5 linked regions of the Nothobranchius furzeri genome follow. The protein of the gene in region 1 interacts with the protein of each later gene in a biochemical or structural test. Links are inferred from orthologs where the notes say so. Each region holds a gene or a part of one and is shown in the gene's direction. Other genes may lie near its edges.

Region 1 (6,039 bases):
GATTACACTTTAGATTACAGCTGGGATTAGATTTTATTAGACTCTAGACTGGACTTTGCTGAACATTTTTGTTCAGATTTTAAAAGTTTGGTTTATCACTAATTAAATCAGGTGACAACAGAGACCAGATCTGAACAACAGTGTATTTTGGTGTTAATGAAGTCAGATCTCGCAAGTTTACGTCGACCTCCATGAATAATGAATAAGATAACGAATCTCCTGCTGACCACTCAGAAAAGTTTCTGGTCTTCCAGCAGGTAAACAAAACCAGTCAAAGCAGGTTTGCGCATCATCAAAAGGTCATAATTTAATAGCAGTATTCTGGGTTATTTTGCCCACCATGAGCTAAGTATTTAATTTAGAGATAAATATTTATTTTACAGGCTAAATATTTAGGTCAGACCTAAAAATTTTGCTTGTAAACTAGATATTTACTTAACTAACTAAATATTTAATTTGAAAAATATTTAAATGTTAAACTTCAAAAATATATATTTAGATTCCAGCTACTTTTATTTGCTAAATCAATATTTAAATTTAGTCAAAAATAAATATTTAGCTGGGACCTAAAAATTTTTTGGAAAAAAAAAATCATTTGGAGCTAAATATTTAATTTGTAAACTTAATATGTAGCTCCAAATCAAATATTTGGTTAGTAAATAAGATATTTAGCTGAGAACTTTAGCATTTATAAATGTATGAATAACATGGTGAAAATGTGACTTTTGTAAATGAACTCCCGTTTTTTTGATGGGCTAAATAATCCAAAATATTGCTGTTAAGTTTATAAACTGTTTGACTTTACAAATGGCACCCCACATAATCACACCCTAAAAAACAAGAATGCAGAGAACAACCTCCAATCTGCATTCTTGTTTTTTAGGGACTCCTCTACAACTGATCTGATTTTTTTTGTCTGTTAGAAAACTATCATAAACGACTACAGGGATTTTAATGAAACCTACAGAATTCACGTTCGTATGATTAACCAGACTAAATATGGCCGCCACAGCCAGTACACAACAAAATGACTCAAACGCAGTCAAATCTGCTGCATGGATCTCCATCTGGCGCCACAGAACTAAAGGGTGAACAGATCAGACAAGAGCTTTGTGAAATAGAAACTGGACAAATTTTAAATAAGAGTCTTAAACAATTTCCTATACTTCTATATTGAACTGGGGAAACTCAACAGTAGCAAAAACGTTTAAAAACCAGTGAATTTTACAGATAAGGAGCTGAAACTTTGCATCATGGTCTAATTCTACTACCATGTGGATAAAAGCACATTTACTTCCTCTCAGGCTGATTTGGGATGTATTTAATCAAAGTAGATAAACATCTTTGCATTTTCCTCAAACCGTTGAAAAGCAAGTTTTTCAAATATCTCTTTTCTGAACAGGAAGTGACAAAACTGTTCAAAAATGAACCACGTGGAAAACACTGCACTGTGCTTAAGAATCTTCTAGAAAAAGGTTCTTTGCAGCAACCCCTCCCCCCTTCCTTCCTTCCTGCAGACCCTTTATCCTCAAATGACCTTTCACCCTAATCCATGCATGGAAGTTTCCCTGCTGCCTGCTGTTTGGCGTCTCTCAGATGCAGAGTGGATCATCCACCTGAAAGCTCCGGTTGTTTGCATTTGAAAATGAATTCCTGCATTGCCCGTTTGACCACCTGGAGGTCGTTCCCAGAAAGGGCCTTTAATGCAAAACAGAAAAACTGGCTCCAATTTAAATTGTTACTGTCTTTCCTGCAAAAACAACCTTGTTTACTGATTTAAAAAAAACTTCATTTTCACCATTTAAAAGCTGTTTTTTGCTTATATGAATGTTGATGGTAAACTTTTATTTATACAACCACATTAGACTCTAGTGTTTTCATTAATAACATACTATAATAATAATGTAAGAAAATGTGTGGCTCTTTAAAAAATGTAAATTTTGAACGTTAACATTTGTTTTTCTTTAAAAATCTTTTCAGAAGTTTTTGAACTTTATGCATGAAAGGGTTTATATTAGTTAGATCATTTTCATTCTAGATGTTCAAACAAAATCATCTCATGTTGAAAAATGGTGGAATTGTTGGTTTTTCTTTCTTTTTTTTCCAGCTAAATATCTGAATACTTCTGAGTTAAAAATGCTTATGAAACGTGTATGTGGAGTAACCAGGTAGGTAGGTTTTAGTAGTGTTGCAAATCTGCAACGCCTGCCTCCAGAGGGTTGCTCAAAGACAACACCCAGCAGCATTTTGTTTAAAACTGAGATGCATTTGGTCTAAAATGAACGTCTTCTATGTTTTTAATCCAGTTTGATATCAAAATACAGTTAGTATTTTGGCGTAGATAGCCCGAAAAGAAGGGGTTGAATTGATTCACAGTTGAAAGTGTCTCCCAGGCAGGATCTAACACGTACGTGTAAATGCTCCCTTTGCTTACCCTAAACCCATCTTCCAGGTGTTTCTACAACACTCTGCTAAATGTTTTCTATTGGACGCATCTTTCTAGACCGTTGTGTGTGTAAATGTGCATCTGTATTAAAACTAGAGCAAAACCACGACCCTGAGAAACGAATGCAACCAAAATGATGTTTTCATGTCTGGTTTTTAGCTCACTTTTTCCTACTTTGATGAAACTAAACAGTTTCCTGTCATCCACTAAGAAACTTGGGAGTTTTTAACCCAGTTTGGGTCAAAATGAGTTTTGATAGAAGGACGACCTCTGAGTTAAACAATGCTCATGAAACACATATGTGGAGTAACCAGGTAGGTAACTGTTGCAAACCTGCAATGCCTGCCTCCAGAGGGTTAACCCAGGTGAGTATTATGTGTTACTTTTTGCATCGTATCCCAGCATGTTGTGATCACATCGGCTCTTCAGGTTTCCTCCAGTTGCTTCTAGTCAGATCTGATCAGAATGGGAGGGGTGGGGGTGGGAGCTCTTACGTTTGCACTGGGCAGCTGTTACCAAGACCCGCCCTCCACGTGCTGCAACAGACACAAATAGATTCTAGATCTTTCCGTAGGCATGTTGGGGGCTTGTGGGTCTGGGGGCAGGGCGTTAGGGGGGTGGGACCAGCGTGTATAAAAGCTCTGCAGCATGTGAGTCAGGCATCAACTTGGAAGAACATTTTCTGAAAGACTTGAGAAGACTTCTTCTGCCCGACCACAGCAAGCATGGCTGAGAGAAATATTCCCTTCACCCTGGCCCGCACTCCCAGCTGGGATCCGCTCCGGGACTGGCACCACAGCAGCCGGATCTTTGACCAGATCTTCGGCATGCCGGCCCTGCTGGAGGACTTTCCCACGTTCCCCAGCTCCCGCTGGCCCGGCTACCTGAGGCCCTCCATCCTGGGCACTGACATCATGATGCCCCACAGCCACATGTACCCGGGACAGATGTTGGCCCAGCAGGCTCGTGCCCTGTCCAGGCAGATGGGCAGTGGCGTGTCAGAGATCAAGCAGACGCAGGACAGCTGGAAGGTGTCCCTTGACGTCAACCACTTCTCACCTGAGGAGCTGGTGGTGAAGATGAAGGATGGTGTTGTGGAGATCTCTGGTGAGTTTTCTCTCTTCTCTAGGTGTTTAAGTAACCTGCAAACATTCAGGATCTTTTATTCAGGATCCAGGTTAACTGAGGTCATTGTCTCCAGATGAAAAGGACCCCTCCCCCTCTTCCTCACATGGGTGGGAGTGGGATTCTGGCTAGAAGCCAACAGATACCTGTGAAGCAGCTTAGTTTTACTTTTTGTTTACATTTTTACTGGTGGCATGTGAGGCCTCCTCCCTCTCGGACTCGCCCTCGTGATCCCAGTTCTTCCAGTTTGCTGTGACTCCCCAGTGTCTGCAGCTTTAAAAGGACTGCTGGATCCGGTCCAGTTGACTGGACCTGGTCTGAGCACAGAGATAAACAAAGCGTGTGATTCAGTCTCACGGAATGGCACAAGAGATGAATGACATCACTAGCTGTTTATTAATTATTTTTTTAATAATTTCTGTTGTTTCCACAGGAAAGCACGAGGAGAGGAAGGATGAACACGGCTTCATTTCTAGGAGCTTCACCAGGAAATACACGTAAGCTTTTATTTTATTTTTTCAAAATCTGCAGGTTTGTGCAAAATGCATGCAGTCAAATGTATTCTGTATATCTGAAGCTGAAGTTTGGAGTTCTGAAATGCCTTATCAGCCACCTAGTCAGTCATATCTGGTTTATTCAACTCCACAAGTCTGCTGCCACCTAGTGGCCACACCTCTGCTACTACAACAATGTGTAACACTGTCTCCTCCCCCCTCCTCCAGCCTCCCTCCTACCGCTACTTTCGAGAAGGTGACCTCCTCTCTCTCCCCTGAGGGGATTCTGACCGTGGAGGCTCCTCTGATGGCCATCGAGTCGACCGAAACCACGATCCCCGTCACCGTGGAGAAGAAACCCGCCGTGACCCAGAAGTAGATAGCAGCGCTATACACCCTGATGCCATCAACGCACACGCATGCATGCTTTTTGTTTTAATCCACAAACGTCTTCGAGGAGATGAATCTTGTTGTGGTTTTTTTTATTACTTTTTAATTAGCTTTTTCATTTGAAGTAAATGTTGATGTTGCTTCTCAGTGGTCATTATTAAAATCGTGTGTCCTCAGGTACCTGTTTGTCACTGAGCTGCTTTTGGAAATAAAATTAACAAAAAATATTCTTTTGTCTTTTTTTTCATGATGTGACACCAACATGGGTCTGTGTAGTTGAGCTACGTCTGAGAATGAATTTATGTGGCTAAATTATATCTTTTGGTCATCCATGCAAAAAGCGCATCACGAAAGTCCTGTTTACTTACCTGCACATAATTGTTGTTTGCTTTTTAAGCAAAATCTAATAAAATAACATGCAGCCAGCTAACAACTAAATAAATGAACTCAGTCAAATGATCAATTGGATTTTACTAAACGTCCCATTAGTGCATGTAAAGTGGGCGTGGCTTAAACTGAACTGACAACAGTCAATGATGCTCAGCTGCCGGAAAGAAGCCAGCCATGCTGGTTATTTTCATGTTGTTCTGCACCAGCTGATCATCTGTAGGATGGAACCTGTTTCCATCACTTCTTTCTCTCCTTCCATAGCATCATCCTTCAGGCTTTCGTGTTGCACGTCTGTCCGGAAATACACAGACCAACTCTGCTCCTGACCCCAAAGCTGCAGGGGGAAATCTATATATATAGACACCATGTCCTGAGCTTCCAGCGTGCTGTGTGGTCACAGGGAGCCGGCAGACAAACCGGCGGAATGTTCTTCCACGGCTTTTGGCCTGTAGTGACTAATAGGTCAGCTATAGTTGGATTGATTTCAGATTTAACTCTGGCAGCCAAAGCAGATGTCTATTAGCTGACCATTACGTTATAAGCACACAGTTCCTGAATGCTACTGACTCTGGACAAGGACACTCAGCGTTTCCTCCTCCATGAGTCACAGTTTCCCTCCACTTTAATGCAGGCCTGAATTATTCATGCCAACCCCATCAATCCAGGAACCAAAGCTAGAAAAGTGCTTCATGTGAAGAGCAGCTGGGTCCTGGTCTGCTGATCTCATGAGCGGGGAGGCGTTCACTAGCAAAAAACGTTAAAGTCACTCAAACTGAGAAAACACTGATTACGTGTCACCATGGTGATTCATTTTCTATTCAAGGACATAAATATTCATGTGCATAAAGGCAACAGAAGTCTGAAAGTGGTTTATTGATGTATCACACCAGACCCGCCCCAGTGCATGCTGGTCTGTTACCTGCTCACATATCTGGCTCTTATGGTCTCTAGCCGGCTCACGTCAGGCAAATTTAACAAACAGAATAGTTTTACAAAACTGGGTTCTGGTCATCCGTTTAAAAAAAAAACAAAAAACAAAGGAAAACACAAACTATGATTATTTCAAAAGGTTGAGAAGGTAGTAATAGCACCTGTTGGAGTTTTGTGGATGAATCTGGGAATCTAAAAAGCAGCAGAAGATCCATTTCCCACCAGTGTCACGCACAAAAATTGTGGATTAGGAAATGTTTAAAA
Region 2 (6,782 bases), on another chromosome or scaffold:
AGATCCAACAAACATGGAGCACTGTGATTGGCAAGAAACAAAACTGCTCAGACAAATAGTTGATCTGCTGCTGAGACTACCATGAAGCATGGCCTGACCAACCTGCTGAGCAAATCTTTTGCAACTGTTGGTTTGTCTAGGTTTCTAGGCTAGTTGAAAAACGTAATCAGCCAAAATTTGTCCTTTATTGCAGGGCCTCCTTAAAGAAAACTACAACACCTTAGACTCATAGATAAAACATACAGATTATAACCTTTTGTCTATTTTAAAGAATTCTAAAACGTTACTTCATTAATAAATAGACTAAAATGTGTGAGATAAGTCCCAGTCTCTCTAATCCATTAATAAATAACTTCGTTCAAGAGTGTGTAAATGTACAATTTATTCACAATTCTTTGTTATCGTTTTTGAATAACTTGGAAAATGTGCACTGGAGCACATCACATGCATACAAGGCAAAACAAACAAACAAATGTCAGGTTTGTACATTCAAAGTTCAACCTACAGAAACTTTACCTGACACACTGAATCATTTCAGTTGGGAACACAGGACACTTTTCATGCCTCAGCACTTCTGTTGCGGAAATAAAAATGCCCAACGACAAGGTTGCCTATTGAATATCAAGATTATGCTGCCATCTAGTGGTGAAATGAGGTTCTGCAAATACATTTAAACAATCAAGACGAAAATACAAAGCTAAGAGTTTATAATGAATTCATTGGTGATTCAAACATGTTTTTAATTCTCTGTTAATATAATTGTGTTTTATGCTTATTGTTATAAATTAATGTTTTTAGAGTTTAGACTTGACAAGCACTAACTATTCAAACATCTGTTTATCAATGAGAAAAAAAGAACAGTTTATTAAATCAGATTAGATAGGGACTGGATGAGGGAAAATAAAAAAGTCTTATTGTGTTGATGAGATAATTACTTTATAAGCTGGAAGTCCCACCAGTACTGGAATTGTACGCTTCATTTTAGCACTTAGTGTGATTATGAGGACACACACACACACACACGCACACACACGCGCGCGCGCGCACACACACACACACACAGACACACCTACATTTGTGTAAATGTTTTACTAATATATCTGATCAGTTCATTTCGTGTTCTCTTTATCCTAAAGTGTAATTTCATGAAGAGGAATCTAAATGAAAAATACTGAATGATCTAAGTGCAATTCTAAACGACACTGCTACACGTCCCAAACTCTCATTTAAAAACTGAATCAAACTATTGACTTTAAATGAATATTATTTAAGTACCACAAATCAAACAATCTTGTCTTCAGGACAATTTACTTTAAGAAAAACATGTTTATCAATTAAGTTTTGACACCAATAATCTCCCAGTGGAGATAATAAAAGTAAGAAATGTTTGTCATGTATGCGTGTGGTTTTAAATCGACTGTTAAAAAATAAAAAAGAAAAAATATATAAAATTATAAATGAGTGTTCAGTGCCTAATTCCTTATTGGGCCGATCCTTTATTTGGGTCTACCCTAAATGCTCATTCCCACTTCAGAGGGCTTAAATTATCCCATTAACATTTGTTTGGTAGCAGTGCGTCTTCCCAACTAGAAAACTGAAACCGGATTAATGAGTTGAATTCATTTTGATGTGAAACAGTGATGTGGAAACAGAAAAGCCCTAACCTTGAGGTAACCTGTTCCTCTCCTCTCACAGACTAGTCTGCGTCTATTTTGGTCCCTCGCTGTTGCTCTTTAAACGCTGTTAGTGGCCGTGTGGACGTCCCCTTGTTTATGTACTGAATACAATCCAAACAATCAAACTCAACAAACATATAAAACGTGGTTTACTTTATGATTCTCTGGCGATTATCAGCGAGCCAGATAATCCGGTCATTTCCTCTGTGGTACTTCTCCTTTAAGAACAACACAAAAAAAAAACTGCCATGACGTCATGAGTAAACCCTGTCCACCGAAAAGTGAAGTGTGTTTGTCGCGTTAGCTTGGTCGGACTTTTCCTCTCATTTCACGTTATTTTACTAGGTGGTTTTGGTATTTTCAAAGCCGAATTGTGAGATTTCTTGATTTTAGTAGCGTAACACAACATTTTAAGCGACTTGAAGGGTGTTTTAATAAGTTCCTGAAGCGTTTTCGTCTCTTCGATTTTTTGAGGAACCGGTGGAAGGCGGACACTACCGGAGATGGATAAGCTAACAGTTAGCTTAGTTGTTAGCCGGGAATCATAGGTCATAGAATAGGCTCGAGCTAGCATGCTAAAAATAGCTTATCTGATATTTTTCGGATTACCAAGTAACTTTGTTAATCTGTAATTTTAATATTACTGTCGGCTTGTCTCCGGGCCTTAGTCTCTTACGGTGTTCGGTCACCAGCTAAGTCGGGAAGACCCAATTTGTGTTCAAAGGGAAACGACGGAGCGGTGTTGTTGAGTGGTGGCGACTGATTATCTCTAAGCCCAGAACATGAACATGCTAAGTAACCCTCAGAACCAGCCACGGTTTCCGAACCCAGCGGGCCAGCAGAACCCAAGCGGGCAACAGAACCCTCCGGGTCAGTTTGCCCCCTTCATTTCGAAATCCAACCTACAAATCAAGAAGAACGCCATCACAGAAGACTACAAGATAACCAACCAGGTGTTGGGGCTGGGCATCAATGGAAAGGTGTTGGAAATCTACCAGAAGAGCACCGGTGATAAATACGCCCTAAAGGTGAGTTACAGCTGGAAACAACAGTGTGCATGAACTGGTTATTGAAGGTAACACCACTTGAAGTGGCAGTAGAGGATACAGATTTAGAAAATAACACATAAACACACCCTAATCCAGTGGTGTCCAACTCTGGTTCTTGCAGCCCAACTATCTAGCATGTCTTACACTTTTGTGTGCTCCAGATGGTAATCATTGACTGATTAACAAGATTCTACAGAACTTGAAGACATGCTTAACAAATAATTCAAACACTGAGTCGGATGTGTTGATGCAGGAAAATGGCAAACATGAGTAGGAGTTGCCCTTATGAACAGCACTGTTCCCTTTGAGAAGACCTCCCATTTTGGTATATTTTTATAAATTTTGCTACAAATGTGTTAACATTAATATAATTTAATTATATAAAATAGCATTTCCACCTAGCTGTGACGGATAATGGCGAACTTAAAAAAAATAAAACGTAGATATTTAGTAGTGCTGGGTATCGATTCAAATTTCCAGAATCGAGTCGACTCCGATTCTTGAGATTTAGAATCGATTATCACTATGTAACCTGATCGATTCTGATCCGATATCGATTCGATTCGGGTCATCAATTTAAAAACATTTTTGCAGTTACCTTAATTCCATGACTGCATAGTTGTGCAGTGTATTGATAATATTGACATTCAGTGATAAATTAATGAAATATTGGCCATTAAACATGGTTGTAAAGATCAGTCCCTCTCACAGAATGTAATAATAATAATAAATAAATAATAAAGTCCCATTAGTTGTCACACACACAGGTGTGTGTGCAAAATTTGTTCTCCGCATTTGACCCATCCCCTGGGGGATGGGGTGAGCTGCAGACACAGCCGCGCTCGGGAACTATTTGGTGGTTTAACCCCCCAATCCAATCCCTTAATGCTGAGTGTCAAGCAGGGAGGCATTGGGTCTCATTTTTTCAAAGTCTTTGGTATGACCCGACCTGGAATCGAACCCCTGATCTCCCAGTCTCAGGGCGGACCCTCTACCACTAGGCCACTGAGAAAGGTAATTAATGATGTCAAGTGTTTCCAGTGTTTTCTAGGACATTATTAAATTCAGACGTTAGGAATTCAGCCAAAAGATATTGCTGTTGAAAGCAAATGCCATTTTTATTCAAATAAGTTTTACCATATGACAAAAGACATTATTTGCCAGTGCAAATGTAAACAGAAACAGAAAGCTCAAAATTAACTGCTTTCGTTTTACTTTGTGCAAATAGAAATTAAAAGGTACAGAACCTTAAACAACTGTTTCACAGTCTTGTGCAAAAACTTAAACACTTCAGGTATCCAGAAACATTCAAATGCCGATAAAGTACAAAAATGTAAACTTGTGAAAACTGAAAGGCATTCCATATTGATGTACAAACAAAATAGAACAGGAACATAAACTTGACTAAAGACAGACTGTGTAAACTGTCCTTATGTACATCACTTGCGAATGGTAAGATTCTTCTGCAGGAAAAGTAACTGATTCACATGACCAGGGGTGAGACAGCTTCTTTTTGCAGTAATTATATCACCTGCAGTTGAAAAAACCCTCTCAGATACGACACTGGTCCCAAAGACACAGAGATATCGCTTAGCCATGCGAGCCAAAAGAGGATACTTTTTCATTCTCTCTCCACCAGACCAGAGGATTGTCCTGCAGTCCTGCAGGTTTCCTCGCCCTGTACCTCTTGATCTCATCTTCTGCCACCTCTGCACAAGTTTTCTTTGCATGCCCCCTCTCCTCTCTTGGTCTGTAGTCTTCCCCAAGGAGAGACTCCAAAGCACTGGATTGCTTGGGGTTAGGTGCAGGGGGGTTGTTTTCCTCCTCTTCCTCCATTTCATCAACTTCATCTTGCTGCGTGAGAGAGAAGAAATACTTATATGTGGTGTTGTGCAACAATAGGCTTTGGTTTGGCAATGAATAACTTAACATAACATAAATCTGTCATTTTGATCTATAAAGTCAGACAACCACTTGGATATCAGGAAAAGTGTTCAGTCTTGGCTATAACAGAAGGTGCATCCTCACACCTGTAACCATCATCTCATCTGGCAGGAGAACAATGATGAATACATTTCAGTTAAGAAAAAGAAAAACAGAGTTGTGCAGTTGACTGCAATCTATTTTATTGCACACGAACACAGTCAGCAGTGTAAAATGAGCTAAACAGTGCAAAATATCAGTCCAGAATAATTTTTTGGCATCAAAATATAAGAGGTAAATTCCATAAAAAATAATGTAGAATCTAGAATAGAGTTTGTAAGTGGTATGCATTGCTGGGGGGTGAGTGTCTTGTTCCCCATGTAGTTGTCCATCGTTGCTTGTTTTTTTTTCTGCATGAGAAACACAAATAGACTGAAATAAGTACACATATAAAATAAAGCAGCACACACACTACAACACTAAATCAATATTATATTATTTGAATTAACAATATACAGTGATCATTTATTTTGACAAAAATGTGTTGTGAGGCGTTTTACAGTGTTAGATAGTAAAACAGCCTTTTAATAGTAAAAAAAAAAGACTTTCTGAATTTCTCCTGTATTTAAAAATTGAAAACGTACAACTATGCCGCGTTATATTCACCTGGACACAGCTCGTCTGCATATTTTTCACCGCGGAGTTGACCATTTTAGAATGAGGAACATAGTTATGGGTTTGTGCCGTTTTTCTCTTAACGAGAACATTCTTATAAACAGACGTGCTAAATTTGGCAAGCGCATGATTCACAACACGGAGGAGATTCACGATTGCATCTAGTCAATCAGAAGTAGAACACCGTAGACTGACACAGCAAAAAAAACATGTTTAACATCCACTATAACGAACTCAGCTAAAGCACTAAGTCCCAAATTTGATCTGCGTGTAGTGATGGACCACTATATTTAGCTTGTTTATTTTCTGTTACTTACCGGGCTGGCGTTTCCTCTGCTGCATTTGCCCCCACGTTTTCGTCTCCAATGTTCACTTAGGGACGTCGTGCTTCCGTGCCATGCTAGATGGTTTTTGCATATTTTGCAGGTCACCCGTCTTTTCATAGCATCTAGAGTGAAGTGCTCCCATACTCGTGAGGTATTTGTCCAGGGTTTCTCTTCAGTATTGTCGCTTCTATTTTTCTTCCGTATTTCTTCTTGTTCCGCCATCTCTCACAGCAAGATGCGCGTCAGTAACGTGTTACGTCATGAACACCGAGGGCACTTATTGGCTCGTTTCTTCTTTTACGGCTCCACTGGTAGATCAGTGGCTCATTACTGCCACACACTTGCGGCAAATTGAACAGATTGTAACCGATGTCAGATTGTGGTAAAAATAGACTTGATGCGGTAAAATGTGATTATTAAACAACTAATCAATGACTAAAAAAGTTGTTAACTATTTTAATAATCGATTATAATCGATTAAATTGATTAGTTGTTTCAGCTCTAAAGCAGAGCAAATATTGAAGGCACTCAAAGGAAGGGAAAACCAGGAAAAAAGAGGAGGACTAATAAAAAGGGAAAGTAACTCATGTCAGAAGAGGGGGGAGTTTCGCAAATCCAGTTAAAGGTAAGATTGTTGAAAATTTAGTGTAAGGGGCCCCATGTCTGTGTTCGCCTTGGGCCCCCAAATTGCTAAATCCGCCCCTGCACAGGTCCAGGTCTTAAAGTGCACATAAGGTGAGCTACACAACAAGAAATTGTAATTATTAGTTAGTATTCTACTCTGTGTGGTTTTTCCTTCTCTCCTCCTCAGCCAGGCTGCACTCCTCTAATGTGGCTATAACAGAAGGTGCATCCTCACACCTGTAACCATCATCTCATCTGGCAGGAGAACAAAAACAGCTGGTGGCCAGTCACTCATCTATTTTGTTTTTCAATAAAGAATGACAAATTATTTAAGTTTATGGTTTTTTTTACCACACAATTATCTATTTGTAAAAATATCTACAAAGCTAATATTTACATAACAAGTATGATTGGGTTTTGTAATACGGCACTCTTTTTATTTTAGTAAGATTTTTAAACCAAGTAAAGTTAGTAAAGAACACCTTTACCTATGTCCTTTACTGCTAAGA
Region 3 (6,254 bases), on another chromosome or scaffold:
CAGGGCTTTTATCATCTCTGGTGTGAGTTTAAAATATAAGTGTGTTAGCACTGTGTTGATTATCCCTAATATGAATAAATGTTTATTTATTCAATGTTTCTCTTCTTTTATACGCAATTGAAGTTATGCTATTCATGGATAAAAAAAATCGTGATAAAATCGAAATCGTGATAAAATATTGGAAAAATCGTGATATTCTATTTTTGCCATATCGCCCAGCCCTACGTGAGAGCGGGGGTGTGGGGTGCACACATTCCGCTGCCGTTTCTCACCAGTATTAGCTGATGGAGGGCTCTAGTTTCGTTGCGCCGTTCATGTCAGCGGACACGGTAGGGTCGGAAAGGAGGGCGGGGCATGACGCTTAGCCTGGCGGGTGGCCAAGCAAAGCCTGGCAGCCCGCCAGGCTTATAAAGCATTGGGGGAAACCCTGGCTTCATATTGGCTCACATTTTTGTGTTCTATCGAATTAACAGGCTCCTGTTGTATTGGTCTGTTCTCTATCTCCACTGTTATTGTACCAGGACATGCCGACCCGTGTGATGCTACGTGTTGAGGTCAATGGTTTTATTTTCTTCCACAGAATCTGAGGGATGTTTTGTCAGACCTCATTCCCAAAGAACAGACCAGGATCAAAAACTTCAAACAGCAGTATGGCAAAACCAACATAGGCCAGATTACTGTTGATATGGTAAGTAGTGCTATGTTGAGTAAATCTGAAGTGAGCAGAATATTGGAGATGCAAGTCCAAGTTAAAAGGGAATTAATCTAGGGAAGGGCATTGAGGCCAAAGGCTGTGACGAAGACTAATTGTGGCATGGTAGTTGGCTACATGTAATCCATTTAGGCCTGCCCAGGCTCGTTGGCTGTGTCAGGTATCACTGTACGGTCATCTCCCTCAGAGGTCACGTATAAACTGATTCCTGCCAACAGAGAAAATTTCAGCTGAGTCACTGAAAACCTGAAACAGGCTGGTCTGGGCTCACACATCCACAGCACTGCAATAAGGCCTAATGGATCATATTGATGTGTATTGAAAATAAATGTATTCCTCTTAGTCTTGTGGTCATACCAAGTCTCAGACCAGTATATACACCAGTATGTAAAATCAGTCAGTCGTGTACTTTAAGGCTTTAAAGGGGTTCCAGCGTAGTGGGCTTGTTACTGCAAGTTAATTTAATGTCGCAGATATTTTGTGGCCAGAAAATGCTTAGAGTTCCTCTGTTCCTCCCACAGGTCTATGGTGGTATGAGAGGGATGAAGGGTCTGGTATATGAAACCTCAGTGTTGGACCCTGAGGAGGTGAGTGCTACAGTCACGCTGATGACGTATACCGACTCACTGGCCACTCCTGTGTCTTCCTGCAAAAGCAACAGTCTGACCTTCGACACAGTTTAGATCACTAAGAGTTACGTGTGTATGTAAGTTATTTCAGTTTCCTTTCGCTTAAGAGTCCCATCTGTCAGCATTTAGCAGATAAACCAGTGAAAGAAGAGATTTCTTGTTTGTGTGTCGTTAGTCGATGCTTTAAACTCTTCTGACAGCTTCTCGGAGGACTCTTGAATCGACAGTTTTCAGCCTAAAGTGAGAGCTGTCAGCAGGGAGTCTTGTCTGTGTTTTCACATTTCACAAGGAAGGACACTTGGAGCTAGGGGTGGGCGACATGGCCTCAAAATAAAACCATAACATTTCACAATATTCTGATGAAGTGGCAGAGTACAGTTGTTTTTCATTTACTGACTCTTCTGCTATATTACTACATCCTTACTAAATCTGTGTGACTTGTTTCACATAGTACAATTTCTTTTAATTTATTCTGAATTCCTTATATCCATTCTAACCATATTAACATCAAAACGGCATGATTCCCAAGTGAATGATTGAAAACTTAGCAGATCAGTAACCACAGATGTCACATTTTTACTGTTTGACTTGTCACAAAGTTCTGAGGTTCTGCAGAACTCTGATTTTTGGAAGATCTTACTCCTCTTTATTTGAATAACAAAATATGTCATTGTTCTTGTGCAGAATTAGGTATTATCCAGTTTGGTAGCTGATGTTTAAGAACTTCAAAATGCATGGAGGGCTGAGCAGGAGAGAACAGGGTGATGGCGTTCATGTCCAGAGTTCAACAGTCACAGAAATGAGACAGGTTTTTCTTTTCCCCGGGCAAGAAGATTTTACCGGTATTATCGTGAACAATACAGTACGGCCCATCCCTACTTGGAGCTTGTATTAAAGTTTCCTTTTTTATTTAGCATTGCAGGAAAGTGTGAAAGAACGTTGGATAACCACATGAAATAATTTGTTTGACCTTTTCTCTTGTCCGTTAACCCACAGGGCATCCGCTTCAGGGGCTACAGCATTCCAGAGTGTCAGAAGTTGCTGCCCAAAGCTCCAGGAGGCGAGGAGCCCCTGCCTGAAGGCCTGTTTTGGCTGCTGATCACAGGACAGGTCCCCACTGAGGAGCAGGTGAGCATCACAATAAATTATTGATGGTACACGAGTGAACTGATGTTCTTTTTGCCTCAGTCAGTCCTGGAATCTCAGACGAGGATTTCTTGACTTCCCTTTACTTCCTGTTGAATAATACAGGGTATCCGCAGGTCCTTAAAAAGTCTTAAAACGTCTTAAATTTGCTTTTCCAAATTTAAGGCCTTAAAAATCCTTAAAAATGACAAATAATCCTTAAATACAGTTTCCAAAGGTCTTAGATTACCAAAGACCCAATAAACAAAATCGTTTTGTTTCTATTAAATTTTTTGAATTTCTAGTTAGTATTCAGCATTTTTTGTGTATGGTGTTGGCGTAAGCAGAACCGTACACATTCAGTTGGTTGTGACAGGGGACTATTTTTAGATGAGCACATGAGCTGGTTAAGCTAGTGGGAGCTTGCGCCATGGGGACGTGCAAGTTTGATGGTAACTGGATGGTTAATCCCACTTTTGCTCGGTTCCAGGCAATAGCTAGAAATTATAGCTTAAATTTAATTTCAAAAGTAGCTTAAATGTGGTCAAAGTGGCCTTAAAAAGGTCTTAAAAAGTCTTAAATTTGACTCCCTTAAACCTGCAGATACCCTGTAATAGTGATTCTGTCTGAATAAGAATGTAATTTAAACAAAGGCTTGTGACCAGAGTATCAAATATGATGTAGGATTATAAAAGTTAAGAGTAGATTACGTTTCAGGGTTTATTTTTGACTTGGTGTTTAAGCTCAAAGCACTTCACCGTTAATAACTGCAGCTCAAGCTGTAATTATATACGTGATACACTGGTGCAAAAAAGTATTTAGTCAGCCTCCTATTGTGCAGGTTCTCCCACTTAAATAGATGAGAGGCCTGTTATATTTAATCACGGGTATACCTCAACTATGAGGAATAAAAATATCCAGAAAATCACATTGTCTGATTTTTAAAGAATTTATTTGCAAATTATGATGGAAAGTAAGTATTTGGTCTCATATAAACGAGCAACATTTCTGGCTCTCACAAACCTGTAACTTCTTCTGTAAGAGAAACAGAATTGTAGTCCTGCACCAGGCTGGGATGACTGAATCTGCAATAGGTACGCAGCTTGGTGTGAAGAAATCAACTGTGGGAACAATTATTAGGAAGGGGAAGACGTACAAGACCACTGATAATCTCCCTCCATCAGTGGCTCCATGCAAGATCTCACCCCGTGGGGTCAAAAAATATTCAACCTCTGTCATTGCCAACAAAGGGTAGATAACACATTGAGATGGACTTTCATTACTTGCCAAATATTCATTTTTCCACCATAATTTGCAAATAAATTCCTCAAAATCAGACAAATGTGATTTTCTGGATTTTTTTTTCTCTCTTTGTCTCTTATAGGTGAGATATACCTTTGATGGAAAATTGCAGGCCTCGTCTTTTTAAGTGGGAGAAATTGCACAATTGGAGGCTAAATACACTTTAGCCCCACTGTAGCCATGGAGGCTAATCCAAACATACATTGGTTGAGCCCTTTTCTACAAATTTAAACCGTATTTTTAAATCTATTAGGATTAACTTCAAACATTTAAGTCTAAAATGCAAGACTTCCCTCATCTGAAGACTGGAGGGGCTGGTGCAGCTGGTACCTAAACATGCTGGGCTCTAAAAGTAGTCCGTAATGTCATGTAGTGGGAAACAGGTCTACACACCTGAATATTCACTCACAGGCCTGTTTATTAGGTTCCAGTTGGGACCCGTTTGGTTTACAGAACTGCCTCAAATTTCCATCCTGTCCTTTCAGAGACCTTGGTAGGAACCCGTGCTTATCTGAGCTGCTAGAACCAGTCTCATCCACACAACTGCTGTCCAAGCTCTTGTCTTTTAACCTGGCTGATGCCTGTAGCATCACATCTCTAAATGAACCATGCTCAGAGCAAACAACAGCTAAGACAGGACCAGAGAAAGCTGCTGTTGTGTCCTTTGGCAAGACACTTAAACCGCCTTGCCTGCTAGTGGTGCTCGTACGGACCGGTGGCGCCAGTGTTCAGCAGCCTCACCTCTCTCATTGCACCCCATGGCAGCTGTAGCTACATCGTAGCTCATCTCCACCAGCGTGTGAATGGGTGAATGACAGATTGTGTTGTGAAGTGCCTTGGGGGGTTGTAGAACCCTAAGAAGTTGCTACACAAATACAGACCATTTACAGGTCCTTCTGATAAAAAACAAAAGGCATATTGTGATAAAGTTCATTATTGTCTGTAACTTACTGATAAATATTAGACTTTCATATATTGTTTTTGGAGATTGAAATTTGGATTTTCATGAGCTGTATGCCAACATCATCAGTATTAGAAACGATAAAAGGCTTGAACTACTTCAGCTGTGTGTAATGAATCTAATATATATGAAAGTCTAATGTTTATCAGTACATTACAGAAAATAATGAACTTCATCACAATATGCAAATTTTTTTAGAAGGACCTGTACTTTAGGAGCACCAAAACATGGACACTTCACGTGGTTATCTACATAAGTGTAATGTGATCTGTAGTCACAGCTGACTCAAGAGGACGTCTGCTGGGACTTTATTGCTGCCGGCTTATCTTGTTGCAAGTGTTTATATGTAATTAAGTGATAAACATACTTTTCTTAGCTAATTGTAACATTTCACAGAAAAATGACTTTTGCCCCTTTTAACAGATGTGTACTTGTATAAAGTGGCCAAATAAGGACCCCCCCTCCAACCCCTTAGCTTGACCTTAACTTGACCCCTCCTTTTCTAGGTAAACTGGGTGTCCAAAGAGTGGGCGAAAAGAGCGGCACTCCCCTCTCATGTTGTCACCATGCTGGATAATTTCCCCACAAACCTGCACCCCATGTCCCAGTTCAGTGCCGCCATCACAGCTCTAAACAGCGAGAGCAGCTTTGCACGGGCCTACTCTGAGGGGGTCCATAAGTCCAAGTACTGGGAGGTGAGGTCGCACACACACACATCCGGTCCTGCCAGTGACCGAACATGAGAAGGAAAAGTCTGTTCTACTGGGTGAAATTTTATTATTTTGGTTTTTCCCAGTTTGTCTACGAAGACTCCATGGACTTGATTGCCAAGTTGCCCTGCATCGCTGCTAAGATTTACCGCAATCTTTATCGTGAAGGCAGCAGCATCGGAGCCATTGACTCTAACCTGGACTGGTCCCACAACTTCACCAATATGCTGGGCTACAGCGAGCCCCAGTTCACTGAGCTGATGAGACTCTACCTCACTATCCACAGGTAGCATCTCAGATTCACACACACACTCCCAAACGGGTGTGAGGACAGGCTTATACCCATAATATCAGTCATTTAATCTCTAAACTGAATGCGGTTTGAAGCCATCCCCATCAGCTTGACTACTATGGGCCATTCCCATCTGTACCGGGCCGGGTAGCGTAGGTTGTTTACATGTCTGGGTGGCCTGGTATTTTTCCGGGCCAACCAAGGCTCATTCTCAGCCCTCTTCTCGAGGGGGTCTGCTTCAGGCCGACCAGGGCCAACACACCCACTGCTGACAGCAAATTCACACCTTCCATTAGAGCAAGCCTCTGATTGGTGGGTAGAATCAGCCCACATGGGCTTAAGGCAAGGTTGTGTGGAATCAACCGGGCCATGCTGGGGCCGACTGGGGCTACCCGGCCCGGGCCGACCCGGTACAGATGGGAATGGCCCACTAGTGAAATGTGACCCAATTTTGGGTGTTTATTTTTCTGTATTTCCTCATGTCAACCACGATATCTGCAGCAAAAAGACCTGTTTACAAGAG
Region 4 (6,254 bases), on another chromosome or scaffold:
CACTGTTGCAACGCCGTTACCGTTACTGGTTGTGCGTTACTATGTGCTTGTCGAACGTTGAGCAACAGTGTGAGGCTTTCAGACCGCCACACTTCAGCTGCAGCCAGGGAGAGAGAGGTGTCGGTAACGCACTTACAAACACGATGATGATTGGCCGGGTGGGCGGAGACCCTCACTGTCTCAGTCGCTGCATTCTGTAGACACAACAGAGCAGCGACGGGAATAACGCCGTTTATAATAACCGCGTTACTAAAAAAAAAATATTTCTTTCAGTAACGAGCAAACTAATTAATTACCGTCTTTCATTTATCCAAACTTTGTTTCTGTTACTGATAAGGAAATGCGTGCGTTAAGCAGCGCGGTGTGTTGAAGCTGTCATCAGCTGATCAGGAGCTAAAGAGGTAGATGTTTTCATCCAAGAGCATCACGGCCGTGAAGAACGAGGAAGACGTGATGAATAGTCTACGCCCTTCTTAGCGTGACAGCGGGACGTCCCAAAGGTCCGCTCACCTGTTCACCTCTCAGACGTCCTGATCTTCTACCTTCCTAGATCATCCAGCTGTAACCTGTTTCTGATCATGTCTTTAGTCCCGCTGTAACACTGATGCATCAGTCTCACACGTCATGGAGCTCAGGTGTTATCAGAACTACCTGTGTGTGTTTACCATCCAGCTTCAGCTCTTCTGTGGTTGGGTCTGACCCAAGTTAGTAAATGCAAGTCCTCCATCAGGCTTGTGCCTCTTCTAGTGTCATTTTAAAGGATTTTATTTATTTATTTAACCGTTACTAGATTACCAGCAACAGAAATGCTGCTAAAAACACACAATTATGTGAAGCTGGAAAATTTTAAATACTGTACAAAATTACATTCATGTCTGTAATTTAACTAGACTGAGAGACCATTTAAAGGCTCGGGAACCTTTACAGGTGTTTCTATTTGCAAATTATAAATTTTAGCTGATTGGGGTCTTGTTAAATATCACACAGTGACCTTTTAATAGTCTACATAAGTGTAATGTTCCTGTTAGTAGTTCCTCCAGTTAAGTGCTCATTTATTGAAATTATTCAGGTTTATAAAAACATTTGGACATACATTTTATTAAGTTCCAGTCATTCGTCATTTATATTTCGCTACTGTAGTAATTTATAGTAAATTAAGTTCATTTAACCCATTTTTCTAGCATTCTTTAATGAAAAAAGTAACTAAGTAGTTATTTTTCTTGGTAATTAGTTACTTTTATAATCTCGTAACTCAGTAAATGAGTTACATTTTTGACAAAGTAATTGGTAACTATAATTACTTTTTAAAAGTAAGTTTCCCAACACTGGTCGTAAGTGTGATGGTTCAAGTGGTAAAGAGTAAGAAACTGTAGGAAACTTAAACCTCGCATTACTCATGAAAAATGGTTTCATTCAATACAAGTTTTTATTTATTTATTTATTTTTTTAGTTTTTGTTCATCTCCAGTTTTCCACACCCGCTTTGATTAAACCTTCACGTTAATGCCTTTCATCTGCCTGCAGGCTGCTGAAGGTGAAGCCAGAGGAGAGGCTGACCATCGACGGAGTCTTGGCTCACCCGTGGTTGAACTGCACCGAGGCGCTCGACAACGTGCTGCCGTCCCCGCAGATGATGATGGACAAGGTGAGCTGGAACCGCGTTGACACCACAGACGAATCTTTTGTCCGTTTCCTCTGGACGTTATGGCGAGTCTGTGATGTTTTTCCAGGCCGTCGTGGCGGGCATCCAGCAGGCACACGCAGAGCAGCTGGCCAACATGAGAATTCAGGATCTGAGCGTCAGCCTGAAGCCACTAAACTCCGTCAACAACCCCATTCTCAGGAAGCGGAAACTGCTCGTGTATGATCAGTGTATTAATACGTTCATATTGCTGCACCGACGCTGTAGCTTTGTACGATTACGGTCTCATTTCAGACAAGTCCTTATTAGGAATCCTATGCTTATGTTTGCTCTTGGTTCTCGATGTTGCAGGCCCAAACCAACTGATGGCTTCTTGATTCATGACCCAGAAAATGGAGGGGAAGACTCCAACGTAGCGCTTGAAAAGCTAAGGGATGTTATTGCACAGTGCATACTACCACAAGCTGGTCAGTTGCTGCAAGTCCATCATTCTAAACACAGTTTAGCCTCATCTATTGTTATTTTCTACAGAAAATGTGATTTTTTATGGGGTTTACAGAATTATACCAAATCTTGCTGACAGCAGAAATGCATAGACAGAATCCTCTGAGGTGAATATTTATGTTATTCCAGGAGAGAACGAGGATGAGAAGCTGAATGAGGTGATGCATGAAGCCTGGAGGATCAACAGAGACTGTAAGCTGCTGAGAGACGGTCTGCATGGACTCAGCTGGGACGGTCCGTACCTCTTTTCTTTGGTTTCAGAAAAAAATCTGAAAAGGACGGATTTGTATTTCTGATTTGGGTTGTGTGAAGTATAGTCAGGTCCATAAATATTGGGACGTCGACACAATGCTAACATTTTTGGCTCTATACACCACCACAATGGATCTCAGATGAAACGAACAAGATGTGCTTTAACTGCAGACTGTCAGCTTTTATTTGACGGTAATTACATCCAAATCAGGTGATCGGTGTAGGAATTCCAACAGTTTGCATATGTGCCTCCCACTTGTTAAGGGACCAAAAGTAATGGGACAATTGGCTTCTCTGCTGTTCCATGTCCAGGTGTGTGTTCTTCCCTCATTATTCCTATTACAATGAGCAGATAAAAGGTCCAGAGGTCATTTCAGGTGTGCGATTTGCATTTGGAATCTGTTGCTGTCACGATGAGATCCAAAGAGCTGTCACTATCAGTGAAGCAAGCCATCATTAGGCTGAAAAAACAAAAGAAACCTATCAGAGAGATGGCAAAAACATTAGGCGTGGCCAAAACAACAGTTTGGAACATTCTCAAAAAGAAGGAACGCACCGATGAGCTCAGCAGCACCAAAAGACCCGGAAGACCACGGAAAACTACTGTGGTGGATGACTGAAGAATCCTTTCCCTGGTGAAGAAAACACCCTTCACAACAGTTGGCCAGATCAAGAACACTCTCCAGGAGGTAGGTGTGTCTGTGCTAAAGTCAACTATCAAGAGAAGACTCCACCAGTGTGAATACTGAGGGTTCACCACAAGATGTAAACCATGGGTGAGCCCCAAAAACAGGAAGGCCAGATTAGAGTTTGCAAACATCTAAAAAAGCCTTCACAGTTCTGGAACAACATCCTACGGACAGATGAGACCAAGATCCACTTGTACCAGAGTGATGGGAAGAGAAGAGTCTGGAGACGGATCCGAAGCATCCCACCTCATCAGTGAAGCATGGTGCTGGAAGTGTCATGGCGTGGGCGTGTATGGCTACCAGTGGAACTGGTTCTCTTGTATTTATTGATGACGTGACTGCTGACAAAAGCAGCACGATGAATTCTGAAGTGTTTCGGGCAACATCATCCGCTCATATTCAGCCAAATGCCTCAGAACTCGTTGGACGGCGCTTCACAGTCCAGATGGACAGTGACCCAAAGCATACTGCAAAAGCAACTTAAGAGTTTTTGAAGGGAAAGAAGTGGACTGTTCTGCAATGGCCAAGTCAATCACCTGACCTGAATCTGATTGAGCGTGCATTTCAGTTGCTGAAGACAAAACTGAAGGGAAAACGCCCCAGGAACAAGCAGGAGCTGAAGACTGTTGCAGTAGAGGCCTGGCAGAGCATCACCAGGGATGGAACCCAACGTCTGGTGATGTCTGCGTGTTCCAGACTTCAGGCTGTAATTGACTGCAAAGGATTTGCAACCAAGCATTGAAATTTATACGTTTGATTAATGGTTCTTATTCTGTCCCATTAGGCACATTTGCAAACTGTTGATTCCTACACCGTTCACCTGATTTGGATGTAAATACCTCAAATAAAAGCTGACAGTCTGCAGTTGAAGCACATCTTGTTCGTTTCATCTGATATCCATCGCGGTGGTGTATAGAGCCAAAAATGTTATGTCCCAATATTTATGGACCTGACTGTAGGTTTAGGTAGTCGGCATCTTAAGCCGGGCGTACACTGTGCGACTTTTTCACTTTTTTGAGCCGATTTTCCACTCGTGCGAGAATCCACGACATCGGGGCGAGTTTTGCGCTGAGCGTCGTGTAGTGTACAGGGGGTTACGAGAGGCGATTAACACCACGTGACCAGCTACCGATCAGCAGTCGTGAGGTCGCACGGACTTCTGGCGTGTTTAAAATTTCGCTCGTCCCTCGTGAGGGTATCGCACTGTTGAAGTGGCGCTGCGAGCAGCTGCGACCCAAAAAGTACCAGAACCGCACACGGCGCATGCGCAATCATGCATCAACGCCGCTCGCTATTTCCCTAATAACACACGCTGTTCGTTTTTGTTTCTACACGTTTTTTTTACTCACAAAGATTGTCAAGAAAGCGTGTTTGTCGTGTTCGTGTCAAATTAAACTGATCACAAAACACAGATTTACTTTCTTTATTTCGTTTTCCTCATCCAACCCCCATAAATCCCTGTGTGTCCCCTGCAGCACTCCCGAAGGACAACAGGCAAAACAAGACAAAAAAGTTTGACGTGTTGTGTAAAAACTGCTATTTTTAGCATATTTTTAGGGCCGACGTGTTGCTACCAGACGTACAGTGGGAGCAGTCAGGTCGCATGCGAGAACTGGGTCGTGCAGTGTGAGCGCACGACTCGTGAGATCTGCCCTGCGAGGAAGTCGTACAGTTTGAGCTGAAGCTGAGTGCTACGAGTGTAAAAAATGTACAGGTACGCCCGGCTTTACATGCAGCAGATCTCAGGTCTCACCCCGGCTTTCCACTGGATGTGTAAGAGGCGCGTAGCGTAATAGACTTGTTTTATTCACAAGCTCCCTTCCCATCAGGAGCATTTCAGGTGTAACGCCGGGGACACACCGGCCGCGGAAGCGCCACGAAGCGCCGAGAAGCGAATCGCTCACGAAATTCGGCCGCTGCTCGCCGCTCCTCAGTTCAGATCAGACGCGCCCCAGTCGAGGCGCGCCTCGGCTCAGCTGTAGTTTTTCTTTTAAACACTTGGTGTCCTCCATTTCCTCTCTGCCTTTTCTCAGCTCTTTTCCTACGTTTGAGTGTTTGTGCGCGTGCGCGCGCGCGTGTGTGTGTGAACCTATGGTATGAGTTGTTTCTGCCAGTTGAATCTCTTGGAACCCGCTCCAATTCTGCAGCTGTATCCTAGCAGTTTCTTCCGACATGGGTACGTAAACAATCATATTTTTGGGGGGTCGTACAGCTCCTTGTGTTTCTCAACTTCCATAATTCATTTAAAGTCGTCCATCCTAACTGCTTGCCTCAGACTTTCTGCCTCTCTGTCCTGTTTGCTCCGGTGAAAAGACACCCAAAACCACTCCCCCCTTCACGTGGTCACACACGCACACAAGTTCGATGTGTGTGTATGTGTGTGCGTGTTCGTGTGGTTTTTCTGCAGTGTCTGTTTACGAACACATTTGACTATTGCGGAATTTTATTTTGAAATGCTTTATTTTGTTAACTTTACCGGCCTGCCTCTTATGTCTACGTTTGACTTCCTGCCAGAATTGACGCGATTCACCCGCGGCTCGCGAAAAAAATAGAGCCAACGCCGAAATGATCGCTGCACGGCGCGGGCTGGAGCGCCGGCGCGCGCCGGCGCGAGGCGATTCGCGGCGCTTCGGCGGCCCATGTGGTCTATAGAATAGCTTAACAAGGGCGCCGAATGAAGGCGGTCCCATTTTCGCGGCGCTTCCGCGGCCAGTGTGTCCCCGGCCTAACATGGCAGCAAAAGCGATCCATGCATAATTTAGACTGTTCACTCGATAACGAGCAAGGACCGTGACTACGGAGGTTTCACAGGAAATGACTGAGTTTTATTTTTTATTTTTTTATTGGTTAAGCAACCCGAATTCTACAAGTGATTTTTATTTAGAAAGTTTGTGGATGTATTACACAGCTTTTGTGTTTAACTTCCTGTCTGGCCCAATCTGAACTGATGAGCTAGATGGTTCTGGAAGTGTAGCACATAAAACAAAAACAGCCTCAAAAGTGTACATTTGGTGCAGCGGTGCATCACTACGCTTCTGGGCCTCGTGCAGAACGATCCACTAGAACGATGGCTAACTGTGCTTCACGAACGTTAAGCCTGGTTCATGCTTCTCCGTCAGCTCCGCAAGCGACAGACACGCACGGATAGACGGAAGCGTTTTGCTCTCG
Region 5 (6,254 bases), on another chromosome or scaffold:
ATTTTTGTTGCTAGCCAATCACACCTATTTTCTCTCTGTAGCTTTCAACCAAAATTTGAGAAAATGAGCATGCTTCCATCACCTTCTGCAGACCTGCTGTAGTGCTTGCATCAACAGATGATACTCAGCTAAAAAAACTACGGGGATATAGGTTTTGGTCCGCATCGCCCAGGGTGTGGAATATTGGCCGATTCCAATCATCAACCAAATTTCTGAGGGTATATCTCAAATGTAGATGTTTGGAAACCATCCTCATGCAACTTTATTTGAATAATGTGTATTTTTCACTCAGTATCTTTTAGTTTTGTCCAGCAAAGCCACACCGCAGTTATCTCTGCCGAATGTCCTTCCAACATCATTTCTAAGCGAAGTACAGAAAAAGCAGGAAAAGCACACCACCACACCATTAGCTGCTGTTTGTTTTCTACCGTCTGATTTGTTCTCCGTTTCATCAATCAGAAGTGTGTTTGAAGAGGGCAACAGAAGCTCATATTGACAGATCTTCTACATCTCTGTACACGCGCTCTCCTGCACACAAAATGCCACACTCCTGTGTTGGAGGAAATGGAGCAATTACGGACAGCTTGGTGATGCTCTGCAGGGGGTTAATATGCAGCTCCGTAATTAAAAATAAATTACAGTTTTCCTGTATAAATATTCAAGTTCCACATCACCGTGTGCCATTGCCTTGTTATGGTATGTAAGCTCCCCCCCCCCCCCCCCCCCCCCCCGCGTCTGGGCAACATCTGGCAGAACATGTCCTGAAGCATCACTGAAATAAATTGAGTTTTGTCTGCCTTCAGAGAGATTCAATGGTGGGATGCGCGTACAGTCTGATTGAGACTGACATGCATGGCTTGAGGTTATAGCAGGTGTCTAAAAGACTAGCAAAGTGTTAAAATCTAATTGAGGATTTAGGAAATGATTTATTGGATTAAATCATATTCAGCTGCCTTCTCTCTTTTTTTTCCATTCAACTTATATTCATGATTCATTCATGGTCTGTCTAGTGTGGAAATCAAAACTTATTGGCTTTTGCGGATATTTTATTGGTGTATGAGTAACGCCACAGCTCTAACATTAAATCCATGTTTACATTTGATTTTTTAGTTTAATTTTTTCTAAAACCTTTTTTATATCCATGCACCTTGTTTTTACCTACATTAGGGTCTCGTATTACAAAGTTATGAAATCATGAGTCAAAGGGGGATTTTTCATGGTTTCTGTAGTATTTTAACCAGAGTGCATCATAGAATAATGAAAATGCAGAAAAAATGTGTCCAGATGTTTGCTAAATTCAGCCTTTGTGTCATAGATAACAAGAATGAGCACCACTGTAACTGCAAACGTGTTAAAGGGAACAACCTGTTTGTTGTTGATCATAAAATCACAAAACTGTTGCACTTATCATTTTGGGAAAACAAAACAAACTCCTGAGTAAGCAGCGGAGATTCTAAAATGCAACTTTTTTTTCCTCATCTTTCATCACTTAACTGTTTTTTGTTTCCTGTTTTGTCAAATCAGGAGAATACATCAAAACCTGGAGGCCAAGGTATTTTCTCCTCAAGAGTGACGGTACATTTATCGGATACAAAGAGCGACCACAAGATGTTGACCAGCTGGAAACCCCCTTAAATAACTTCTCTGTAGCACGTGAGTGTCTGCTCCAAAGAAACCCCCTCTTCTCTGTGTCTTGGCAGCTTGTTCTACCCTCCAGTTTGATGCTTTTCTTCTTTTTACTTGCTTTGTTGTTAGAAGTACTTTCACATACTTGTTCTCAGATGTGTCCTGTTTGTAAAATATAGTTTAAACCCTTTGTATTCTGGGGGAAACTGTGTCTAAAAGCCTAATAATATCCTTACTGAAAGGGAATCGAGAGTAAAAAGACTATTGATTTTGGTTTGCTTTCGTGGCGAGCCCTCCTAGATGTCCTGAATGCATTTCCTCAAACTGTCACAATAAATCCGTTATCGACGCTAATGTATAAATACTACATCTAGGACAAAATACTCAGTGTTTTGCACCTTTTTTCTAAGAGTCTGTTCAGCTGATAAGGTTTTTTTTTCCCCTGCTCATCATTGCCACATTGAGTGCATAACTAGTGTTTTTAAAGTGTGGTTTCAGTTTAGCTATTTGTTAACCTCAGGAACTCTAAACACAGGATGCACAAAGCCACTTGGAGAATGCAGCAGATTGTAGCTTACCCAGGGCTTTCCAGGATTCCCTGGATTCTTTTCTGGATTTCAAAAGGAATGCACAATGATTACATAACTTCAAGTTCAAAATGTATATTTTTTGTGTGCATCAGTCCTCAATAAACTTAAAAACAGCCAATTTGCTGCATTGAGTCTAAATTGATTTAGAAAGCCAAGAGTTTGGGTTACATTTTGAAATCATGGTATTGAGGATGTTTACGTGGAAACTGGACTTGATAACATCATGTGATAGTTAAGGCTTTCACACGATGTGGTAAAAATGAATCTATTTAAATACACTGAAGTAACATGTTTATATTGTCCCAGAGTTAAGGGAATTGGTTTTAAAGAGATGCATAAAAAAGTTAGCTGATGGCCTAAAATCAGAGAAAAGTAACGCATTGCCAGTTGTTTAATTGGGGTATGTAATTCAAATGAAACTTTCTGTGCTGCTAGTTGGTTCTGTACTACCTGTAAACACTCAAAACATGGAAAACAGCTTTCCATCTGTTTTGGTCACTTTTTGGTTTAGGAATTGTATGCATAAAACAAGTTGATTCAAAAAGTCTCCGTTTGTGACATCACAATTGCAGGAATTAGCATAGAACCACCACTCACCTGTCTGTTGTCATGCTCGGAATTTTAGTTTTTAGAATTTCCTTGGCCCCATTTGATGCTTCAGTCAACAATATACTGTGCCGTAAAATTTCCAAGCTACACAAGTGAGAGTAGGGGGTGGCACATCTGACCTATTGGCCAGGAGTTGAAGCGTTTGCCCTTCACCTATTGCATCAAATAGGATGTCGCTCAGAGGTTTGAAGCTGATATGAGGCTGCCGAAGAGATGCATCTGAAGGAAATTTTAGTGTTTCCAGCCATATATTATGTTGGGTGACTTGTTGACGAGTCTATGGAGTGCTTTTATTGGACCCTTGTGCCTGCTCTGTCTTCTCGATCCCCAGTGAGTCGTGGAGGATGGCTGCTTATACTGAGCCAGGATTCTCTGGAGGTTTCTTCCTGTTAAAAGGGAGTTTTCCTCTCCACTGTTGCTGCATGCTTGCTTAGTATGAGGATTGCATCAAGTCACTGACACTAGTCGGTGACTTGATGCAATTTGCTGGGTTCCTTTATATAGGAAACTTTTTTCTGATTGGCTTAATGAACTGACCTGGATCGGAATGTTTATTATATGAAGTGCCTTGAGACGACTCGTCGTGATTTGGCGCTATATAAATAAACTTGAATTGAATTGCATTAAAGAGCATTTTTGTTCAAGATGGTTCTATTCCGTCAGTGATACGAGCCTTCGGACGATGAGTTAGACATTATTTTAATTCTAGAGTAGCTTGACGAAAGCATTTACTGTGTCTGCAGTTATTGTTATGTTATATCCTTGATTGGCATACATGACTGGAATCACAAGCATCCTGGCTTTCTAATGAGGTACATATGTGTGTGTGTGCATTAGGGTTGTCACGATACTAAAATTTCAAACTTGATTCGATACTTGAAAAATAACTCGATGCTCGATTTCGATACTATTTAAAAACACCAATTTATTGAGCAAGTTTATTCGAAAAATAACATTCCTCAATTTATATTGCAAAAATTAAATGTTAAGAATTAAGTGTATTAAGTGCTTAAACCTTTCAAGTATCAGCATTTTTTAAAACGTGCATACAAAAACTGGTGAAAGTTAACACTTTAAATCATGAATTGTCTCACTATGAATACACTATTTGCAGAGTGATGTTTTGCTGCTTAAACTCTGTTTAAGGTGCATTTTTGTCATAAGATGTAATGCCATATGTTTTGTTCTGTACTTTTGAACAACTCTGTTGGCCAATAAAGGGAGAAAAGGAATTTCTCCACAGTAGGACAAAGGTACATCTACCGGTAATCTTAATAAAAACAGACTGGCGCACGGCAGTGACGTCATTAAAAGCGCCGGTTAATTAGCCGCAGCTAGTCTGTTCACGCCTAGAAATCCCAGACCCGCTCCAAACGAACAGGGGAATCATGTTAATGATTTCTAACAAAACCTTTCGACATTGAGATGTGTTTTGGTGCAGATAATGTCTTATTTCGAGGCTGCACCATGGGTGCCCGTCCGCACCCGTTATATGGATATACACTGATGGCGATTCGCTGATGGATCTAAATACCCCGGGGAATCCAAGTAGCACCAAAGTTGTCAGCGTGAGTAAACAAACGTACTGCATGCTAGAAATTAAGTCTGGGTTGCAATAAACGGGAGTTTTCCTTTAAGCACATAAGCGTGAATATACAACTACGTGTCGGACTTGGTATGCTAATTAAGTTGGGCTGTGAAGCGCCTCCCAAATTCACTGTTTATGTTTTTGTTTATTTATTTGGCAGACAAAACTTGGATCGGAGACAACTCGCGTGGGAAATTGCAATGTAGCCATGCGGCGTCTTCTTCTGTTTGTCTGGGAGGCGGAGGCTGCTTTACGGCATCTGGCTGTCGTGCGTGTCGGTGTACTTGAAGAAGGCTGTGTATAATAGTCCATAATATCGATGCCACAGGGATGAAATATCTAATTTAGATACCACTTTTAGCATCGATTTATATCTAGGTATCGATTTTTTTTACAACACTAGTGTGCATAGAGTGTTGCAAAAAGATGCTGATTTGTTGTGGAAATTTGTGATGTCCCCTCCACCAGATTAACTCACGGGCATAAAAAAATTATCGCTTTTAAGAATCGATCGGCGAAAGGCTGAGACTATCACTGATGATCAAAAGTTTGTCCAATCGCCCAACCATACATAGTACTAATATGACCAAAACCCTTTTGTGCCCCCCTTAATATGTACAGCTGGTAGGGAATTATCACTTTAATATGACTAAAAACTTCTGTGTATAATTTTTACATGGAAACACTGGAAATTGTCTCACCAGTATCTGTCACTGCTGCAAACTAATGAAACTGGCTGACATTAATGCATTGGATGCTACCCCCCCGTTTGCATCTCTTTTGCACAGTGTGACAGAAATGAACAATAAAAAAGTGCCCAGAGCAACCTGGTTCACTCCATCTTCACATCAGAGAAAGTTCCTGCGATGAGCCGTGCAGATGACTGAACGCAGCAATTAGACAGCACACTGTTTGTTTAACAGAATGTTTCCTCTCCGACGCTCTTGAGTTATCGCGGCTATTAGCTGCCTGATTTCTAGTATTTATCTGGGCTATGCTCTGAGGCTCCTGTCTCCTTTTGTGTTTTTGTCATCGCTGCGACCCCACAGTAGAGGACACATGGTGTGTCGCTGCTGACGGGGGCGGCTGCAGCTGGATTACACATTCACCCTGATGGAGCCATGTTGGATCTCAGTGGTGGTCCACTCGGAGTCCTCCATCGATCAGAGCGAGGCCGTTTTTGTGTCACATCCTGACATATTTGCTGACAAGTTTCATTTGAGAACAGATGTTGGTGTGAAGTAGGTGCAGATGGAAATCCCTGCTTTGTAAATTCAGTGTTGTGTGTAATTGTTTTTACAAACAGCTTACATAACAGTTATTTGCCCCAAAAGTAGAAAATGCACAAAATAATATTTGATACATTTTTGTTTCATTTTAGATCCGTGAACTTTGGAGATGGGCGGGGGAAAAAATCAGCTGGTGGTCGGAATCGGCCAGTATTTAACACTAACGTCTTAATCAGTGATCAGTCAATGTAAAAATCAAAAATCTGATGTTTGTGTTTTTATTTGGGTTCATGAATGCACCTTTTACAAACAGCAGTGAAAAGTTTAAAATTTTCTCTGACAGGGAATGCGCTAAATCACACTAGCAAATGCATGTTTTATCATTTAGAAGCACAGTTAAGATAACGAGTGTTATTTAAAGGGATTTCTCATTAAGTAACTGTGTAATACTTGTTCCTTTTGAAATTCGATGGGTCACCTGAGTTGTGCATGCATGCTGAAGGTGAAAATGTTCTTCAACCCCATCGACTGCATTAGCTGCAGAAATGGAAATGACAGGAATGCAACATGCAAAATTAGCATTAATAGCCTCGCCTACCTTATTGTCAATCT

What was found.
Region 2: of the proteins of hspb1 (region 1) and mapkapk2a, one has a biochemical effect on the other in vitro, tested with the Homo sapiens proteins (17 studies listed by BioGRID and IntAct, with this or other methods). The link is inferred for Nothobranchius furzeri from reciprocal best matches to the Homo sapiens genes HSPB1 and MAPKAPK2.
Region 3: the proteins of hspb1 (region 1) and cs form a complex in vitro, tested with the Homo sapiens proteins (2 studies listed by BioGRID). The link is inferred for Nothobranchius furzeri from reciprocal best matches to the Homo sapiens genes HSPB1 and CS.
Region 4: of the proteins of hspb1 (region 1) and mapkapk5, one has a biochemical effect on the other in vitro, tested with the Homo sapiens proteins (4 studies listed by BioGRID and IntAct). The link is inferred for Nothobranchius furzeri from reciprocal best matches to the Homo sapiens genes HSPB1 and MAPKAPK5.
Region 5: the proteins of hspb1 (region 1) and akt1 form a complex in vitro, tested with the Homo sapiens proteins (3 studies listed by BioGRID, with this or other methods). The link is inferred for Nothobranchius furzeri from reciprocal best matches to the Homo sapiens genes HSPB1 and AKT1.

What each region holds. Positions count from the first base shown.
Region 1 is NC_091750.1:66,229,935-66,235,973, forward strand, and holds hspb1 (heat shock protein beta-1), read left to right. Parts: upstream 1-3,081; 5' UTR 3,082-3,171; coding exon 3,172-3,553; intron 3,554-4,004; coding exon 4,005-4,068; intron 4,069-4,293; coding exon 4,294-4,444; 3' UTR 4,445-4,682; downstream 4,683-6,039. UniProt on the Homo sapiens protein: Small heat shock protein which functions as a molecular chaperone probably maintaining denatured proteins in a folding-competent state. Plays a role in stress resistance and actin organization.
Region 2 is NC_091743.1:50,980,217-50,986,998, reverse strand, and holds the start of mapkapk2a (MAP kinase-activated protein kinase 2), read left to right. Parts: upstream 1-2,226; 5' UTR 2,227-2,458; coding exon 2,459-2,704; intron 2,705-6,782. UniProt on the Homo sapiens protein: Stress-activated serine/threonine-protein kinase involved in cytokine production, endocytosis, reorganization of the cytoskeleton, cell migration, cell cycle control, chromatin remodeling, DNA damage response and transcriptional regulation.
Region 3 is NC_091755.1:37,200,404-37,206,657, reverse strand, and holds part of cs (citrate synthase, mitochondrial), read left to right. Parts: intron 1-580; coding exon 581-688; intron 689-1,233; coding exon 1,234-1,299; intron 1,300-2,337; coding exon 2,338-2,469; intron 2,470-5,235; coding exon 5,236-5,424; intron 5,425-5,525; coding exon 5,526-5,725; intron 5,726-6,254. UniProt on the Homo sapiens protein: Key enzyme of the Krebs tricarboxylic acid cycle which catalyzes the synthesis of citrate from acetyl coenzyme A and oxaloacetate.
Region 4 is NC_091757.1:53,482,003-53,488,256, reverse strand, and holds part of mapkapk5 (MAP kinase-activated protein kinase 5), read left to right. Parts: intron 1-1,523; coding exon 1,524-1,644; intron 1,645-1,729; coding exon 1,730-1,860; intron 1,861-1,992; coding exon 1,993-2,108; intron 2,109-2,274; coding exon 2,275-2,379; intron 2,380-6,254. UniProt on the Homo sapiens protein: Tumor suppressor serine/threonine-protein kinase involved in mTORC1 signaling and post-transcriptional regulation. Phosphorylates FOXO3, ERK3/MAPK6, ERK4/MAPK4, HSP27/HSPB1, p53/TP53 and RHEB.
Region 5 is NC_091758.1:33,915,638-33,921,891, reverse strand, and holds part of akt1 (RAC-alpha serine/threonine-protein kinase), read left to right. Parts: intron 1-1,524; coding exon 1,525-1,653; intron 1,654-6,254. UniProt on the Homo sapiens protein: AKT1 is one of 3 closely related serine/threonine-protein kinases (AKT1, AKT2 and AKT3) called the AKT kinase, and which regulate many processes including metabolism, proliferation, cell survival, growth and angiogenesis.